Linked DNA regions of Arabidopsis thaliana. The protein of the gene in region 1 interacts with the protein of each later gene in a pairwise test. Each region holds a gene or a part of one and is shown in the gene's direction. Other genes may lie near its edges.

Region 1 (5,275 bases):
AGTCCCACCCGTGGCAATGAGGTCATCAATAATAATAGCACGCTCACCAGGCTCTACTGCACCTACGTGCATCTCAATCGTATCTGTTCCATACTCCAACGAATACTCCTCCGAAATAACCTTCCCTGTTAAAGGAACCAAATGCAGAGGCAGTTTAGAAATTAACGTCCATGGATAAACAAGGAATGCGACAATTATTTGACACTGCTCATAAGTTTCCAAATGGCTTAATACATTTCTTGTAACTGGTCAAGATACACAACTAAGTCCATTGATATGTAACAGAAAAAATAACAACCACTTAAGTTACTGCAAGTTACCACAAAGAAAAATGATCTAGCAAATGAGTAGCATCATATTGATCAAAGACACTGCAAGATAAAAGTCACCTTGCTAATGTTCGAGATAATGATAAAGTGTAGACTTGGAGCAAGAAGCCATTTAAACTAACAACTTCCTAATTGAGACCTTTCATGTAACTTAATGTCAAAATCACAAGCAACTAGAGGAAGAAATAAAAATGTACCAGGTAGCTTCTTGGGCTTCCTCATGGGAACAAATTTGGCACCAATAGCCAACGCAATAGGAGGGCCAAAAATGAAACCTCTAGCTTCAACACCTGCATTTACCACAACATCAATTTAGGCAGAACCAAAAATCATCCACCAATTCATTTCAACTTTTCAGTTTAAGCTAAAGCACTCAGTATCTAAAAAGGCCAAAAGAAACTAAATCCACAAGCTGTTAATCGATTGGAGTACCAAACAGAACCATACGAGTTGTTACCTGCAACAACAGATATGCCTTTATCTTTGTATCTATCAACAAACAAAGCAATAGTATCCTTAAAGGCCTCAGTGTCGAGAAGAAGCGTCGTTATGTCCTGAAACATGATTCCTGCCAAGTATCCAAATTAAAACCTTAAGATCCCAACGCAGATCAAGACTAGAGACGATATTAATCGGTATAAATGGAAAAAATGGAGACCTGGTTTAGGGAAGTCGGGGATGACTCTAATGGAAGAGGCAATCTTAGCGATTCTGGGATCTTGCACATCTTCAGTCGCCATTTCACTGTCCCGACTGGCTGCTGCTTTAGCAAAATACTCGGCGTCAGATTTGCAAACACAGAGAGACCCTAAAGACTCAATAGAGAGACACAGTGATGAAAAAATGACCAATTTATCCCGAATGGTAACGCTTTGACGGAATTGCCCCACGCAAGCAAAATATCTTTTTCAAAAGGAAACAAAAAGTTTAAAAGGGAAATAGAAGGTGGTGGGGTCTACCGGCGGAGGAGAAGAGGCGGAGTGAGGTGGTTGAACGGTGGTTTGAGAGGCGGATCGAAGGAGGAGCACGGTGGTGGTTGTTGAGAAGACGGTTGCAAGGAACAGCACGAGCAAGACAGAGACGATGAGAAACAAGTGGAGAAATTATTATTGTTTGCATTGTCTTTGGACTGAGAGATCTTAAAAGAGAATGTAAATTACTTTAAACACGGAATAATGGACAAAAGCCGTGATCAATGACTTTTCAAGTCTTAACCAAACCTATAACTCATCCATTGTTTGTTTTTTCTACATATTTCTTCACATAAAATTGGATGATTTAGAATCTTTCAGAGTGTTCACACTCCAACAGATTATTATCCACAATGTTATGGTTACATTTAGAGATATATAACAATGTTCATTTCATCGTTGCTAATGACATAAAACGATCAAAAACTGAATCATAGTACTTCTTTTACAGTGATCTCAAATATATTAATCGCTAATCAATGAATTATGTCACCTATAATTGTCGTATTACCAACAACTATAAAACATATATATAAAAAATTGTTGTCGTTAACTAGTTGTTGATAGTGGCCACTCTAAAACGATCATGACCTACTACGGAAGTTATAACTAGTCAACGTTGGACGTTAGCAAGGCCCAATGGACATTAACTCAGCCCATAATAGCACGCGCCTTGTGATGTGCACCAGTTTCCGTCTTTGGTCGTTGAATTCAAGGAAAAAAAAAGTACATCACAAGCAATTTCTTACTTATCTGTGACTTGAAGCTATTTCTCCAATTTCGTTTTCCATCGACACTCTATTTCATTTTCACCATTCACGTCTTCCTTCTGAATAAAATAAACCCTAAAACCTAATACCGAAGTAAACTCGTCAACCACTGCGCCCATGACCTCCCAACGATACTCTTCCCTTATATTCTTCCTCTTCCTTCTTCCTTTCTGCGATCCAAACCTTCAAACACATCTCCGGTAGATATGAAAATCCACTCTTGCCTCTCCGCCATTCTTCTGTTCCTCTTCTTCTCTGCTTCTTCCGCTAAACAAAATGTTCGGACAGAGCGAATTTCAGGTACTTGTTCTTCTTGCTCCAGCAGATTGGAATGTAGAGTTGAATTGATTAATCCTTGAGGGTCGCTCAAATAAGTTTGAAATCTGTCGTTTCTCCAGCATTTGGTTTATAGACATATAATTTGATTTGCTTAAGAAGTCAATGCTATTGATTGAGGAACTATGTAACAGCTGTGTAAGAGAGCTCAAAAAGGTGTGTTTTTGAAATGCAGGAAGTGCTGGTGATGTTTTGGAGGATGATCCAGTGGGAAAGCTTAAGGTTTATGTATATGAGCTTCCAAGCAAGTACAACAAGAAATTACTGCAAAAGGATCCTCGATGTCTTACACACATGTTTGCTGCTGAGATTTTTATGCACAGGTTCCTTTTATCTAGTCCTGTTCGAACGCGTAATCCTGATGAAGCTGATTGGTTTTACACGCCAATTTATCCTACTTGCGACCTCACTCCTACCGGCTTGCCATTACCGTTTAAATCGCCGCGTATGATGAGAAGTTCGATACAACTAATCTCATCAAATTGGCCTTATTGGAATCGGACTGAAGGAGCTGATCACTTCTTTGTTGTGCCCCATGACTTTGGAGCTTGCTTCCATTATCAGGTAGATTATCTCTGCATTCAGGAACAAACTCTATTTTTTATATGCATTGAATACTTTGGTGGTTGCTGTTCATCAAGAATACCCTGTGATCTTACAATGATAGATGATCATTAGCTTAAAATTAGCTGTTGTATCATCACATTAGTACTTAGTTACATGGAAACTGAGAATCTGTTTATGAGTTTATTGTATAAGATTGTGGAATATTCCAATGATTTGTGTGGGAATTGAAGATTTGATTGACATTAAACAGGAGGAAAAAGCCATTGAAAGAGGGATACTTCCACTACTCCAGCGTGCCACTTTGGTTCAGACATTTGGTCAAAGGAACCATGTCTGTTTGGACGAAGGCTCGATCACTATTCCTCCTTTTGCACCTCCACAGAAGATGCAGGCCCATTTTATTCCTCCAGATATTCCACGCTCTATCTTTGTCTACTTCCGCGGTTTATTTTATGATGTTAACAACGACCCCGAAGGTGGATATTATGCAAGGTACATATTTTGTAGACTTGTAAAACTCTCAAGTGATGAGTTTTCTCTAGTCTTACATAGATTTTTCAACCAAAATGGAACTGCAAACTCTATAGTATCATACAATAAAAGAAGCACATATACATCAAGATCTACCTATTAAGATAACAATTAAGCATTCCTCATTAGGAAGTTAGGTTATATATAAGGTTAGCTAAGATCAAATTGTTTTAGAATCTGCTGACTGGAACTTCTCTCTTTGTATAGAGGTGCAAGAGCAGCGGTGTGGGAGAACTTCAAGAACAACCCTTTGTTTGACATCTCAACAGATCACCCGACAACATACTACGAAGACATGCAGAGAGCCATCTTCTGTCTATGTCCTCTAGGATGGGCTCCATGGAGCCCTAGGTTAGTTGAAGCAGTTGTGTTTGGGTGCATTCCAGTTATCATAGCAGACGACATAGTACTGCCTTTCGCAGACGCCATCCCCTGGGAAGAAATAGGAGTCTTTGTTGCGGAAAAAGACGTCCCTGAACTAGACACGATCCTAACCTCAATACCAACAGAAGTGATCCTCAGAAAACAGAGACTCCTCGCAAATCCTTCGATGAAACGAGCCATGCTTTTCCCTCAACCTGCACAACCAGGGGATGCATTCCATCAGATACTTAACGGGCTAGCTCGGAAGTTACCCCACGACAAAAGCATATACTTGAAGACAGGTGAGAAGGCACTGAACTGGACTGCTGGTCCGGTTGCTGACCTGAAACCTTGGTAAAGTCAGAAAGAGAGGAATCTTTTTGTATATCTTGGGTTTCACCTAGAGCATACGTTGTTGCCTTTCTATAGCACTTCAAAAACATTAGAAGTCCAAGTCCTCCGAGTGGATTTTTTTTGTAGATAACATTAGTACATTTACTCGAGGTACATGTACCAAGTTTGTTGTACATTTTCTCTTCGATTGATCATATAATACTGTACACTCCTTTTGTCTTGGCTAACTCCAATCATGTAAGTTTCAATGTCCAATAACCTGAAAAGTTATGAAAACATGTGGTAATTAATTTTGTTGTGAATCAAATTAGAATCCTTATTAAAAAAGAAAATTATTTATTCAAAAAAAGCTCGTAGATGAAATGGGCCTAAAGTCTACTAAATGGGCTGATTGAAGGAAAAACTCGAACTAATCTAAGATCTTTGCTCTTGAGAGAGAACGAGAGAGGCGGCCATGGGAGGAGGAATGGGTGCGTTTTGGGGAACTCGAGTGATGGAATTAGTGAAGAAGCACGATTCCGGTGGTCTTCTTTGGAAGCGGATCAAGCTAACCCCTACTCGTAAAGCCAATGCCAAAACCCGCCTCCGTCGTGTTTGGCAGGTACTCTCCTATTCCATTTTTAGGGTTTATGGGTTTTTGAGAGAACATTTCTCTTTTCGTAGTCTAGATCCTCTTATCTGCGTTCACTTCCCTACAATTACCCGCCAAGGATAGATTAGGATTGAATGTATTGATGGATTTTTCGTGTTGAAAGTATTGATGGATTCATTTCAAGATCATCAGTTTCGATTGCAAAATGTTGTTCAGTCTATTGTGATGTGCTCTCCTTAGGTCTGAGTAGATGTAATGAGTTAGGACAAGGCCAACTGTGTAGTTTGTTCTTGGTATATGGCCTTTAGGCTTCTATGTATCTTTCTGTGGAACTAGGAACAGAGTAGGAACACTTGGAATTCATTTTTCCCGGTTTGGTGTTTGGTATCATGCAAAGGTTGTCCATCTCTCAATATGCTTGTGTTATTTTCGAGCTATTTTGGGCTATCTTGTGCATCACAG
Region 2 (5,073 bases), 1.0 Mb from region 1:
AGATTGTTGAATCAGATCGGAGGAATCTAAGATGTCATAAAGCGCACCACATGCATCAGCTCATTTGTCTTATTCCAAAACAAGTAAGTATACACAGGCATATTCATATGTTGTATATTAATGTATATATGTAGGATGTAACAAATAAACAAGTATCGTTATAGTGAAATTCATCTTCCAAAAGTTACTAGATTCTTGTTTAGCAAAAACAAAAAAGTTACTAGATTCTTGGGTTGGTTACGAAAAAAATAAAATTGGGTCACTTTTGTTGCATCATTTCATAAAGCAGGCTACTTTACATATGTTTTCAGATCTCTATTCCATTTAATATATTTGAAATTTTCAGAAATTAATCAATATCCGATATACAGTATAACCTCTATTTGGGACTGCAAAATTTTATTAATTTAGAGAGGTATTAATTTATTGATAAATTAATATTTATTAATTTATAGAGAGATTTTCTTAATTTGGTAACTTTTTAAAAAAATTTATAAGATTTTTTTCATTATAAAAAATATATTTCTAGAACCAGTTACAAATAAAACATAATAATAATGTCTAGAAAACATTATTAAACAAATAACAAAAGTTTTGGTATAGTAAAATATGAAAACTATAATCAAACAAATAACAAATATGAATTTAAACAAAAAATTATTATAAATATATTTTAAAGAAATTTTTTACATATAATATATATATATAGTTGATATATTTATACAATTATTAATTTATGATATCGATGAGACCATATATTTACATAGAACTTTCCAAAAAATTATTATCTTATTAATTTATCGATTTGTGTCATTTTTTACACTAGTCCCAACTCGGGACCGGAAGAATTTATTAATTTATAAAGGTTATTAATTTATAGAGGTTATACTGTAGTAAGAAGTCCGTTCTATAAGAAAAGTAACAACCCAAACTTCCAAAAATCTGTACAAAATGAAGTTGAATTACAATTATCACCTGGTGTATAGTTAGAGCTTTTATTGTTTTAATATCAAACTGAAAGAAAAAAAAAATTGTTTCAGACAACTAAATTATTGGCTAGGGCCAATTAGGCTGTAAATTTACATATCAACTTTGATTAACTTTTCTTTTTGTAAACTTGTTTAAAACCGTTTTTTTCCATTGATTGATTAATCGAGTAATTAATTTATTTTATTTCATCTAAAACATAAATAATGAACCGTTGTGCAACCTAATTTTTTTTGTGATCGAGCGGGTTGACTAGATGAGTTAGGTTGAATTTAGAAATATTTACTTTTACATGTAAGCTAACGGTATATAAATTCTGAATTGAAACGTAGGATCAGTTTTAAATATGCGACTAAACTCCGTTGAATATCAAATATAGGATTAACTGAGGGTCATACTATAATTTCACGTGAAATACAATTCTAACAATCGTTACAATGTTTTTTAAAAGAGCTTTTATTTCACAAGATGCAAATTGCAATACTATATAAATATAATAAACTGAAGATAAGCGCACTATCCTTCTTATCATTATGATGGTGTGATTTCTACTCTTTACGTTCCATTTTTTTGGTTCACCCAACTACCAAATTTGGGATCCTCCAAATTCTATGCCAAAGACATAATGTTTTTTTTTTCTTTGTGTTTAATAGACATATTGTTAAGATTAAAAACCTATTATAGTGGGCAATTCAATTTTTCCCACCTTTGCCTTTGTCTGAAGAAAGTGTCTTCTTTTAGGCCACTTTTTCATTTTTTTTTTTTTTTGGACTGACATAGTTGGCAATGTGTTGGAAAGAGACAATCTAAGATGTCATATTTTTTTCTTCTTGGGTCCAAAATGTTTTATGAAACCCATGTTGCCTCACAAAGAATGTTTTTGGCAAACACTATCTATTTTTACAATAGACTTCCATAAGATAAACCTATTGCCAAACCTACTCCCATTACAAAACTAACGAGTATAAATTTAAATAACTTATTGAATTATTTTTGGAATTAATCATATTGTCACTTTTATTGTAGAAACCCTATGTCTCACCATAAAACAAAGGCAGGCAAAGTAAAGTATTATCTCTAAATTATAAATTAATAATTATTCGTCGCCTACTTGGTCCCATTTCTCAATTCTTCATCTCTATATCTATCCCCACATTTCATTGCATTGATTCTCTTACAAGCACTTTCTCCCTCAGTCTTTATCTCCCTCTTTCTCTCTTCTCCATGTCTAACATGTTTAGCAGAATTGCCATGACCAACTCTATCGTTCTTCTTCTATTTTCCTTGACTTTCTTAGGTATCGTTTTTGAATAATTGCTTATTTCTGTCTACCAACAAACAAAATTCATTATCTCAATTTCAGTTTGTCATTACACTTTAATTATTTAAATTTCTCTTACATTTTTTTCACAGAACATGGATTGTTGTTTCAAAGGGTCTCCTCTCTTGGCATCAACTATGGTCAAGTCGGCGACAATCTTCCTCCACCGGACAAAGTTCTACAACTCTTGAGTTCACTCCATATCAATAAGACAAGAATCTATGACACAAACCCTCGAGTGTTAACCTCATTTGCCAATTCCAATATCGAGCTCTTTGTCACCGTCGAAAATGAAATGCTTCCCAGCTTAGTAGACCCTCAACAAGCTCTCCAATGGGTCACTACCCGTATCAAACCCTACTTTCCGGCCACCAAGATCGGTGGTATCGCCGTCGGCAACGAACTATACACTGACGATGACTCAAGCCTTATAGGGTTTGTTACATACATCCCCTCATTCCTATAAATTGTTATCCTTTTCAAATCTTGGTCCATTACAAATATGCCCTACTAACCAAATCATGGTAGTCATGTGGGTATCATCCTGAGATCCTCTAGTTCAAAAAAAGAAGAAAGTATTCAACCTCGTTATTGCTATGATTCGCAGGTATCTTATGCCTGCAATGATGAGCATTCATGGGGCTTTGGTCCAAACCGGACTAGACAAGTACATTCAAGTATCGACTCCGAACTCACTATCCGTCCTTCAAGAATCTTACCCTCCATCCGCCGGATGTTTTAGGCCGGAAGTAGCTGGCGTAATGACACAGCTACTAGGTTTCTTGCGTAACACGAATTCCCCCTTCTGGATCAACGCTTACCCTTACTTCGCTTACAAGGATTCCCCAACAAAGATCCCATTAGACTACGTCCTCTTCAACCCTAACCCTGGAATGGTTGACCCCTATACCAAGTACCGCTATGACAACATGCTCTACGCTCAAGTAGACGCTGTGATCTTTGCCATGGCGAGGCTTGGCTTCAAAGACATCGAAGTTGGGGTCTCGGAGACTGGATGGCCGTCTAAAGGCGATGGAGATGAGGTTGGAGCCACTGTGGCCAACGCAGCCGTTTATAACAAAAATATTCTAAGGAGACAACTTCAAAATGAAGGAACGCCATTGAGACCAAACTTGAGTTTTGATGTTTATCTATTTGCTCTTTTCAATGAAGACCTTAAACCAGGACCAACCTCTGAGAGGAATTATGGATTGTATCAGCCTGATGAGACCATGACTTACAATGTAGGTTTATTATCGTCGTCATCATTAACATCAACATCAACTACTTCTTCAACTTCTATTATTTCCCTCACTTCCTCTGCCTCCACGGTATGTATCAACATTTAACTTTACTTGCTCTGTTTCTACTAGATCTCTTACTTCCATATTTCTTTCTTTTTAATCTTTATATAGCACATTAAATCCCTTGAAAAAAGCTTTGATTGAGAAACATTTTTAAAACAAATTCTGACCTGTTGTCTAAAAAAGAAGAGAATTGTGACGTTTCTTTCTTCTAATTGTGACGTTTTATACTTGAAAAGTTCGGCTTTTCTAGAACATATTCTTACCAAACATATTTATTTTAACATATTTCTTGATTAATAGCGATAAAGTATACATTTTTTTTGGAGCGATATGATTAGTACATGATATTTATGATTATCCTCACCATCTGATTTTTAGATACATATTAGTTAATTAAAAATTTGCGGTCTTAATTATTGCTTATTATGATATTTTAATTTAAACAGGCTTTAAAGAAGGGAAAGCAACGGTTGATGTATTGGACATGCGTTTATTTGTTGGCCATTCACATGCTAATTAGAAGATCGTACTAGAAGCAAAAACAAATTGAGAGAGCTTCTAAGTGTAAATAGAGAGTCCACTAATGCGGTCCAATTTTTCAACGAGAAGAATTAAATTATTCTCGAAAGTGTCTCAGATGATTCTTTAAAAGGGGAAAAAAACACTCAGAAAAATTGAGAAGGGAATGCAGTACTGCAAAGCGAATCCTATGTATAAAAAACTGACGATTCATATTATAGAACTTTATTTGTATTTGTCTTACTAACGTGTTAATTACTTTCGTTGTCTAAATAAAAAGTGACTAAAATTAATCATCAACTGATAAGGTATACAATAATGATTCGTATACAATAATGATTCATGAATCATATAAGAACGATCGTGTTTATTGTTTAAATCCAAAGGATACAATTTCATTTGAGGCATTTTAGTAACCACATTCATTGCATAATTTCATTTAAAATGTTTGATTTCACATTATGTACTACATATGAATCATATTTCAGAAAGCTAAAGAAATTACTCTAGATATAAAGAAGACCCCATATAGTACTACTTTTACGAGAAGCATAGAATATAATAATAATTATTACTAAGCAGAAAATATTGTCATTTTCAACGCTCCAAATATTACTTTAAAGTACATGATATATAATGTTATCATCAGATATCGTTTAACAGAAACAGAAAAAAAGAAAGATGATATCATATATTTTATATAGAAATTTATTGATTGGTCACACCGAAGGTGAAGGCTCTTTTATCTTTTACCTTTTATCTTTTGGACGTGGAATCCATAAACCTTAGACATACGATACCTTCCTTTTCCATCTCACCGTCAACATTCGATATTTTAATATATTGTCTGCTCTTACACATGCATGCATTATATCTGCATGTATATGTGGTATGGCTTCGTACGTGCACACACATGACACTACTCATACATGCATACAT
Region 3 (4,427 bases), on another chromosome or scaffold:
TTTCAGCCAGAAACACTTTCATATAGCTCCAAAGGAGTCTATGGTTCTCATGTTGAAGGAGTACAGAGTTTGCTCAATGAATATCAATCTCAATGTTTCTCCTCCATCTGTAGAGTTTCAAGGTACACTTGGCATAAAAGATGATTCCCATTCTAATTTAGGACAAGTCGAGATAGTCGAAGTTTATCACTGTGATGGTTTGTTGTTATGCGCCACCAGGGACAATAGACTCGTGGTTTGGAATCCGTGTTTGGGGGAAACCAGGTGGATCCAACTCAAAGATGAATGCAGGAGATACTCTACGTTTGCTCTAGGATACGAAAACAACAAATTTTGTCGTCGTAACTACAAAATCTTGAGGTATTGGGGTTGGTTTCACGATCACATACCAGACGACGGCGGACGTTTCAGGTTTGAAATATATGACTTTAGATCTGATTCATGGAAGGTTCTTGATGACGTCCCTGATGACCGCTTCCCACCAGTAAGTGTCGTGTCTTTAAAGGGAAACACTTACTGGTTTGGTTCTAATAAAAAGGACTTCTTACGTAGTTTTGATTTTACAACAGAGAGATTTAATCATATTGGTCTTCCGCCATCTCGAGATCATGGTTTTATGGCTCTATCAGTTGTTGGAGAAGAACAACTCTCAGTGTTACAAGAGATTGAGACATCAAAGATGGAGATATTTGTAACCAATAAAGTTGGTACTGAAGAAGCTGCTTTGTTGTGGAGCAAATCCTTTATAGTGGATTTACCCATTGGCGGTCATTGTTCTGAGGTTTTCGCGAGTCTTTTAATCAACGAGGAGAAGAAAGTGGCCTTGTGTTGTAATTTAGATTTCGAGACCGACGGGAACTTGATATTCACTATTGGAGAAGACAATAAATATTACTCAGAAATCCCTTATGCTACAAACAAGCCATGGTGGTTATGTAGATTTTCTGAAAAATTTACAAAAAAATGGTGGTGGTTTCCATTTATTTACAATTATGTTCCAAGTTTGGTTCAAATCTTGTAAGAGAGATAGAGAGTAAAAAAGAGAAGAAAAAAAACTAGTCGATAAAAATAAGATACACTAGTCCTCTCTCATTTGTTTTCCCTTTGGTTGAATAATTTAATGAAAGTTTTTTGGTAGTTTATTCTTTTTCTTCGTGTTGTATAGTTTATGATTCTTACCTTTGAGAGCCTGCTCTAGGCTGGATTTCAGAAACAAATGACAATCATCTTGTTATCACTCTGTCTGGAGAGGTTTCGATCATCGCTAGCGGAATCAAAAACCCGAGGATATCCTACTTCGACATCGTCAAGATGGATTCAAAATCATCAAATTGGGGGGAAAATCGATTTTATTGCGAACATTTTGGGTAAATTTTAGTAATGATCAGTTTCATAGATACACTGAGATTCGTCTATATTGTTTGAATGGTGGCGGCGGTCGGGATGGACAAATCCACTCAGCAGTTTAGTTTGCTCTATTTTTAGGATGGATAACAAACCGATGTAGATCAACTCTATTTGTATATATAAGCACAATTCTATGAATGGTAAATAACTACAGACACAATTTATGAATGGTAACTAAATATCGGTCAAGTCCATAAACGGATTTGTCCGCCTTAACCGCTGCAACCATTCAGACCCTATGGTTTGAAACAAGTAATTGCGTCCATGATATTCAAACCGAGAAGGTTGTCCAATGGTTTCAACAGTTTGCGACACAGTTATTGTTAGATACATCAAAGAAACTATAAGACACTACACAAATACGTCTCTGTTTTGGAACAGAGGATTTTTTTAACTTTTTAATTATATTAATCTAATTAATCAAAACATGAATTAAAACGGCTGACGAATATCACCAGCCAAGTCTATAGAAAAAAGATTATTACTACAAGCTTTTACTTAAAAAATGTCCACAGTTTTTGAGCATAAACTTGCGGATTAGTTTGTCTTTTCGTGTGCTACAAGTCTTTTAGTCAAATTAGACGAATTTTACGCTTTCTTGTATACATTGATCCTAGAGTTCCGTAATTGCTATAAATAGATGTCAGTTTAGGAGTTACCAAATGCAAAAAAACAAAAAAAAAACACTATCATTAATCAAGTTCCACTGTTCATTTTCGATCTGCATAATGATGATGAGTCGTCGCTATGGAGCCAAGCTAATGGAAACTGCTGTGACTCACAGCCATCTTTTGAATCCTAGGGTTCCTCTCGTGACGGAAAATATTAGGGTTCCGGCGATGGGAGTCGTGAGAGTTTTCAGCAAGATGACATTTGAGAAGAAGAAAACTACGGAGGAGAAAGGATCTAGCGGTGGCAAGGCTGATCAAGGTAACAAAGGGGAGCAATTAATCGTTAGCTACTGGGGAGTGAAGCCGATGAAGATCACCAAAGAAGATGGAACTGAATGGAAATGGAGTTGCTTTAGGGTACATTACATCTTTGGTATTATATTAGAACTCTGTGGTCGATTTATATGTATGATTTGAGTTTTTGTGTGGAATAACTGTAGCCATGGGAGACATATAAATCAGATCTGACTATAGATTTGAAGAAGCATCATGTTCCATCGACTTTACCGGACAAACTAGCTTATTGGACCGTGAAATCTCTTCGATGGCCTACCGATCTTTTCTTCCAGGTGACAGTCTTAGCTTTCTATGGTTTTGTCATTTCAAATGCTTTGTATGTTTGGACTAATCTTGCCAACGAGTTAACCGCAGAGGCGGTACGGATGCAGAGCAATGATGCTAGAAACGGTTGCAGCGGTTCCAGGAATGGTTGGAGGGATGTTAGTACACTGCAAATCGCTTCGACGGTTTGAACAAAGCGGTGGTTGGATCAAAGCCCTACTTGAAGAAGCAGAGAACGAGAGAATGCATTTAATGACATTCATGGAAGTCGCGAAACCTAATTGGTACGAACGAGCTCTTGTGATTGCCGTTCAAGGCATTTTCTTCAATGCTTATTTCCTTGGATACCTAATTTCTCCCAAATTTGCTCATCGTATGGTTGGATACCTTGAGGAAGAAGCAATCCACTCTTACACTGAGTTTCTTAAAGAACTCGATAATGGTAACATCGAAAATGTGCCTGCACCGGCTATTGCCATTGATTACTGGAGACTTGAAGCTGATGCGACGCTTCGTGATGTCGTCATGGTGGTCCGTGCTGATGAAGCGCATCACCGTGATGTTAACCACTATGCATCCGTAAGTAGTGTGAATTGTATTATAGGAAACTTACTTATGTTTAAAAGATGATTAGATTGTTTTCATGGTTTTAATAAAAATTGCAGGATATTCATTACCAAGGTCGTGAGCTAAAAGAAGCTCCAGCTCCCATTGGATATCATTGAATCTGAAGAGCTTCTAGCTTTGTTTTGTCGTTTTGATACGGTCCAGTTTTGTTTTCCTTGTTCCTAAATGGGCTTTAATGGGTATTTGTTAAAATTTAGTGGGCCTTAGAGTAAGCTTATTTGTGCTTGCTTTCTTTTTGCTTCATAAAAGAGTGTTTTGTTTGTTTTCATTCTCCTAATAAATCAGTGCTTACATGATATGTTTACATATACACTTAGGCTAGAAATAAAACTTTACAAACCCAAGGCTTTGAAGTTTGAATATAACCATAGATATGTCCATTAAACCCCACTAAAATGAAGTAGGCTTGAATCCATCATATATAAATGTTAAATTAATAGGGGTGGGAAAAAAAACGAAAACCGAAAAACCGAACCGTACCAAACCAAAACAAATGGTTTGGTTTGGTTATGGTTTTGTATAAAAACCCATTTGATTGTAATTTTTATTTAAGTTTTGGTTTAGGTTTGGTTTGATTAAAAACCGTAAAACCGAACGTTTTTTTTGTTTTTGATTTAAATTAAAAATAATTGTATATATATATATATAATGTTCATTTGATAACATGATATCTATCAAACTATCGAAAAACAAAACCCTAACTGTAACCTAAACTAAAATTCTATATAAATTACATGCCGTCATTTAGGATTTGAGTTTACAAATTAGATTTTGATTTTATTTATGCATCACACTTATAATTTTTTTTGGTAAAAACATGAAAAAACCGGAACCAAACCGGAACCGATCCGAACCAAAATACATATGGTTTTTAAATGGTTTTAATTTTTTAAAACCAAAAACTGTAAAACTGTTAAAACCGAACCGTAACCAAACCGAATTTTATATGGTTTTTATATGGTTTTACTTTTCTTAAAATCGAAAAACCGTAAAACCTAAAACCGAAACGAAACCAAACCGAAAAACTGAACACCCAGCCCTTAAATATAATGAAAATCGAATAAATTTGTTTGAAAGAATCGAACAAAATTGACAATAAAATCTAATTAGGACTATTTTCGTCTAATTTTGACTTAGTTGAAACAGAATATTAGCAAAAAT
Region 4 (5,091 bases), on another chromosome or scaffold:
TCCTCTCCTTTATGTATAACTTTGTTTCTTCTGATTTGATTTGTAACATTAACATGATTACATTTATATATAGTATATAATACGTAACCATGCATTTAACTTGGTACTTGGATTCGTTTATGAAAGATTGAAAGGAAAACGAAAGTTATATGATCACTACTCTTGAATTCGAACTCTAATTTAGGAAGAACAGTATAAACCCCAACATATAGTGTTTTCTGGTCTGAAAAACTTTGATTGTTTTGTTTTTGTGGTTTGGGAAAAAACATCAACATAATATTCATGACGTCAAAAGTACAAAACAAATAAGATGGATTTTGAATAAACTTTCCAATCGTGCTAGCTAGCTATTTCTGACATAATTCAAGAAGAATAATGAAAATATGTCACACAAAAACAAAAGTATTAACGATGAATGAATGAATGAGAGAAGACAAAAACCTTTTTGATATTAAAAAGACTGTAATATATATCAACACATCAGGAGAGAAATTTGAAAGCATATTATAGATTTGTAATCATCAAGTGATAAATAGAACTTATTCTACTAGCATTATTATTCATATTTATATATGATCCCTCAATTTCACCAGTGAATAAGCATCCTCCACGTTTTCACAGATTTCTAATCCACCGATTTTAACTTTTGTTCCATCAGTCAAATCCCCCTTTTTGTTTTTGTTTTAGTCCGACTATATATATTTGTTTGCTTATGTTTTTCTATTTGTTCCAAATCTTTGGTAAAGATAGGTGTTTCCATAAAATGTTATTATCAAATCAAATGATAAATAAATGCTTTCCAGATCATTTTATGCCTCTGCATGATTCTCTAGTAATTAGATCAAATCAATTTTCTCATCATGAATATGTGTAATAGAAAAGACTTTGTGAATGGACAATATATATGGTTACAAAACAAAAATATACCATAGAATTAAAAAGTGCTAATATGATGATATTGCACCTAGCAATATGTGTTGTTGTGATTATATTAGAGTCCAGAAGGCAAATAATAAATTTGTTGTCTAGCAAGAAAGGACAAGAGCACGAGGTACAAATTTTTCTGTAAACTTTTGTAGTTCTTGAATGGCTTCCTCAATCCTCACGATGATAGATTTTTCGCTAGCTCGTAGTATAATATGGTTCTTTGATATTTTAACAAAGAAGAAAGACATGGCCATATGATTTTTTATCGAACGAAACATAAAAAACAACGTAAAACATGGTTTAAGATAAAAGTAAGTAAGTTATTTGTAGACTTCTCTATCTATCTATATATTAACATATTCTAAAACCCATGACATGTTATTTCTTAAACCATGAATATATTGAAACATTCAAATCATCACTAGGTATAAGTAAGTGAAATTCATTTTCTTATAAGAAATCTCTCTTTGTCGGTTATGAAATTGGTTGCTATCGCCAGGTCGTAGGGCACAAATACCCATTTCGGCATATATACAAACTATTCCATGCACTTTACTTATATTACATGCACTAGCATAGTTCTGCTCCCATTTTATGAAAGTGGTTAATAAATATAAATATTAAGATTAAGAAAAAAACGATTAAGCAAATATTTCGAATAAATTATTGAAAATATATTATTTGGTTAGTCTCATGTGTTGTGGCGACGAGTTACGACAGCCAAAAACATATATTGGTCGAGACGATCTTCTAGTTATGGTGCTAAAGCTGCAACCTCATTCTTTATTCTGCGACATTACCATTAATTAATATAGTCAAATATTGAAAGAAATGTTTACGTCATACACAAACACTACACTCACTATTTACAGGAAACAATTGGAATAGAATCATATGCCACGGCACGGTCTGGTCAATTATATTGATAACGATAACTCTCTTGTTTCTCAATTAAACTAATGGCTAAAAATATGAGGTTGATTTTAATTTTTTTATCTAAATATTTAGACTCAAATTTCAATTGTATCTATTCTATAGGAATTTAGCCAAATTATTTATAAATATTCGTAATCATATTCCGAAGAAAAAAATATTATTGTTTAATTTATATCTAAACTTTACTTTTGTTTGAATATTACTCATGGATATCTCATTACCTATCTTTTTTCTACAACAAATAAAACAATTAAAAATTTATCTATAAATATGAACATGTTGGTTTCTCTATCGTAACACATTTACTATCTACGAACGAATTTAGAAGCTTTGTTTTCTTTCCTTTCGTTTGCTACTACTGCAACATTTCTATTTTTCTGATAAAACCATGATAAATTGTGGAGATGTTTACAAGGTAATCGAAGCAATGGTTCCACTCTATGTAGCCTTAATCTTAGGCTATGGCTCTGTGAAATGGTGGCACATCTTCACGCGTGATCAATGTGATGCTATAAACCGTCTCGTTTGCTATTTCACCCTGCCGCTCTTCACCATTGAGTTCACGGCCCATGTCGACCCGTTCAACATGAATTACCGGTTCATCGCGGCCGATGTCCTCTCTAAGGTCATCATAGTCACGGTCTTAGCGTTGTGGGCCAAATATAGCAACAAAGGAAGCTATTGTTGGTCCATTACTAGTTTCTCTCTATGCACTCTTACTAACTCTCTTGTCGTTGGTGTGCCATTGGCTAAGGCAATGTACGGACAACAGGCTGTTGATCTGGTGGTTCAATCCTCGGTATTTCAAGCCATCGTGTGGCTCACACTCTTGTTGTTTGTCTTAGAGTTTAGAAAAGCCGGATTTAGTAGTAATAATATCAGCGACGTACAAGTAGACAACATCAATATCGAAAGTGGAAAAAGAGAAACTGTGGTTGTGGGAGAGAAGTCGTTCCTTGAGGTCATGTCCCTCGTTTGGTTGAAGCTTGCAACGAATCCAAATTGCTATTCTTGCATCCTTGGGATCGCATGGGCTTTTATTTCTAACAGGTAAAAATGAATCTTTAATTAAACTTTATATTGGTACCTATAAGATGTTTAACAAAGTGTTAATTAGTATGTGTGATCAGGGACTCAGGAGACTACATTAATTCCACCCCTTACTCCGAGGCAACCGTTAAAATTGCCTAAAAATATCTATAGTTTGACGTTTAAACCATCTAAATTATTACTTTTCTGTGTAGCGCCTGATGATCTATAGTTAAAATTTTGACAGAAATATAGGTCACGATTGTTTCTTTGCATTTGCGTTTATATTTCCATGTGACAAATGACTAGGACATTTTTAACATGGTAACATAATTTGCAAACGTGACATGTACATGCAAATAAACTAATCATGATTTTAATCTGAATATTAGAGTCTTTGACCAAATTTCTATTTTATTTGTTTTAGTGTGAATTTTGGGTTTAGGGTTTTGATTAGTGTTTTGTATACTCTTGGCTAACAAATAAAGACTTAAGTCTAATAATTGATGGAAATTAATTGGAAATATAGATGGCATCTGGAGCTGCCGGGCATATTAGAGGGTTCGATTCTTATAATGTCAAAAGCAGGAACAGGAACGGCCATGTTCAATATGGGTACGTTTATTTATGTCCATGCAAGTATCTTTCTATACGTAAAGATTACGTATCAGTATTGAGATAACAGTGAATACATGCATATATACGCAGGAATATTCATGGCACTTCAAGAAAAGTTGATAGTATGTGGAACAAGCTTGACTGTGATGGGAATGGTATTGAAGTTTATTGCCGGACCGGCGGCCATGGCCATCGGCTCTATTGTCCTTGGCCTCCACGGTGATGTCCTCCGCGTAGCCATCATTCAGGTCATAAATTCTACTTTATCCTTTTGTACCCTAATTCTACTGAAGTTTGTATATAAAAAAAAAAGTAGATCATTTTCCATTCATTCATCCACTAAGATACTAACTTTATATTTTTCAGTTTAATATATCATTAATATTTATATGAAATTTACAGGCTGCTTTGCCACAATCGATTACTTCGTTCATTTTTGCTAAGGAATATGGATTACATGCAGATGTTCTAAGCACAGCGTAAGTCCAAATTTTAAAAATTCAGTCTATTTAAGAAGAAAATGGTAATATGAAATTAAATTAAAATTTTGATAAATGTAGGGTGATATTTGGGATGTTGGTCTCTCTACCTGTGCTCGTCGCCTACTACGCAGCTCTGGAGTTTATTCATTGATTAAACTAATAAATTCGATTATATCATCAATATTACCCTTTGTTCATCTTTCACAAGTTTTTTTTTTTGTTATCTCTTTTACACTTTCCTCCTAAAGGAGATTTTGAAGTATATTCGAGATATGAAAACCATTAACTGAATGAATTAACCTAGTTTATGCTTAATTTTATACTTTCTTAAGCTCTCTTTATTTTCGTAGTATGCATAATTTAGTATTTTGTTCACATATACGTATCAAGAAAAGATAAAAACTCTATAAATGAAAATACATCATGTTCGGATCTAAAATTGTTTTAATACGTACACTAAATATTATAAGCCCTTTTTTTGTTAACAAAAAAAAAAAAAGAATAAATGAAACGAAATTCAGGTTAGAGATCAAATAAAATCTTGTTATTATTTGATTCATGATCATACATACTAACCAAATCAGGATTTATGAAATAAATTATTCTTTCTCCTCAACCGAATCAATATGAAGATAAAAGGGGTAATTTAGTCTTTTCGAATTCGTTTTTCTTACCGAATCTCTTTAGTTTTTTTTCTTTCTTTTGTGTGGAGGAGAGAAGAGAACGCAACACTTTCTTCCCAATCTCTCTCTGCTTTCTCTCTCTAGACGTGATCTCTAATTCTCTAATGTCTTCCTGCATTGCCATTTCCTCTAACCCCTCCACAATCGGAGGAAGACGATTCCTGGGAGCAAGAGAAACGATGGGACTTCCCATCGGAAAATCTCTTAGAGTGAGAGAATTATGGTGTGTTCTTAATGCTTAATAATCACCGACACAGCCATTGTTCTTCATCATCTCCATGGATTTTGATTCCATTTCTCGGGAAAGCACTTTTCTTTCCCCATTGCTTAACCAAAGTACCATCCTTTATTCCCTCTCTGATGTTCTGATTCAATCTTAAAAACCTCAGCTTGAATTTTTGTTGTGGGGTTTTGGT

What was found.
Region 2: the proteins of GUT2 (region 1) and AT1G30080 interact in a protein complementation assay, tested with the Arabidopsis thaliana proteins (one large-scale study listed by BioGRID).
Region 3: the proteins of GUT2 (region 1) and AOX1B interact in a protein complementation assay, tested with the Arabidopsis thaliana proteins (one large-scale study listed by BioGRID).
Region 4: the proteins of GUT2 (region 1) and PIN5 interact in a protein complementation assay, tested with the Arabidopsis thaliana proteins (one large-scale study listed by BioGRID).

Annotation. Positions count from the first base shown.
Region 1 is NC_003070.9:9,528,215-9,533,489, reverse strand, and holds GUT2 (Exostosin family protein), read left to right. Parts: upstream 1-2,000; 5' UTR 2,001-2,276; coding exon 2,277-2,370; intron 2,371-2,581; coding exon 2,582-2,970; intron 2,971-3,223; coding exon 3,224-3,465; intron 3,466-3,711; coding exon 3,712-4,225; 3' UTR 4,226-4,523; downstream 4,524-5,275. Other genes in the region: APT1 (adenine phosphoribosyl transferase 1), read right to left, coding at 1-125, 452-619, 787-897, 988-1,137, 1,289-1,448; AT1G27435 (uncharacterized protein), read left to right, coding at 4,676-4,822. UniProt on the Arabidopsis thaliana protein: Involved in the synthesis of the hemicellulose glucuronoxylan, a major component of secondary cell walls. Probably involved in the elongation of glucuronoxylan xylosyl backbone, especially in the formation of GlcUA side chain of xylans.
Region 2 is NC_003070.9:10,550,306-10,555,378, reverse strand, and holds AT1G30080 (Glycosyl hydrolase superfamily protein), read left to right. Parts: upstream 1-2,083; 5' UTR 2,084-2,211; coding exon 2,212-2,284; intron 2,285-2,400; coding exon 2,401-2,743; intron 2,744-2,915; coding exon 2,916-3,639; coding exon of another isoform or gene 3,640-3,657; exon of another isoform or gene 3,658-4,061; coding exon 4,062-4,148; 3' UTR 4,149-4,524; downstream 4,525-5,073.
Region 3 is NC_003074.8:7,902,021-7,906,447, forward strand, and holds AOX1B (alternative oxidase 1B), read left to right. Parts: upstream 1-2,076; 5' UTR 2,077-2,135; coding exon 2,136-2,435; intron 2,436-2,518; coding exon 2,519-2,647; intron 2,648-2,729; coding exon 2,730-3,218; intron 3,219-3,304; coding exon 3,305-3,364; 3' UTR 3,365-3,556; downstream 3,557-4,427. Other genes in the region: AT3G22350 (F-box and associated interaction domains-containing protein), read left to right, coding at 1-1,021.
Region 4 is NC_003076.8:5,398,484-5,403,574, forward strand, and holds PIN5 (Auxin efflux carrier family protein), read left to right. Parts: upstream 1-2,156; 5' UTR 2,157-2,251; coding exon 2,252-2,913; intron 2,914-3,421; coding exon 3,422-3,507; intron 3,508-3,600; coding exon 3,601-3,758; intron 3,759-3,912; coding exon 3,913-3,989; coding exon of another isoform or gene 3,990-3,993; exon of another isoform or gene 3,994-4,070; coding exon 4,071-4,143; 3' UTR 4,144-4,362; downstream 4,363-5,091. Other genes in the region: ZFN3 (zinc finger nuclease 3), read left to right, coding at 4,954-5,011. UniProt on the Arabidopsis thaliana protein: Auxin transporter regulating intracellular auxin homeostasis and metabolism. Mediates the auxin transport from the cytosol into the lumen of the endoplasmic reticulum. May also act as an auxin efflux carrier when located to the cell membrane.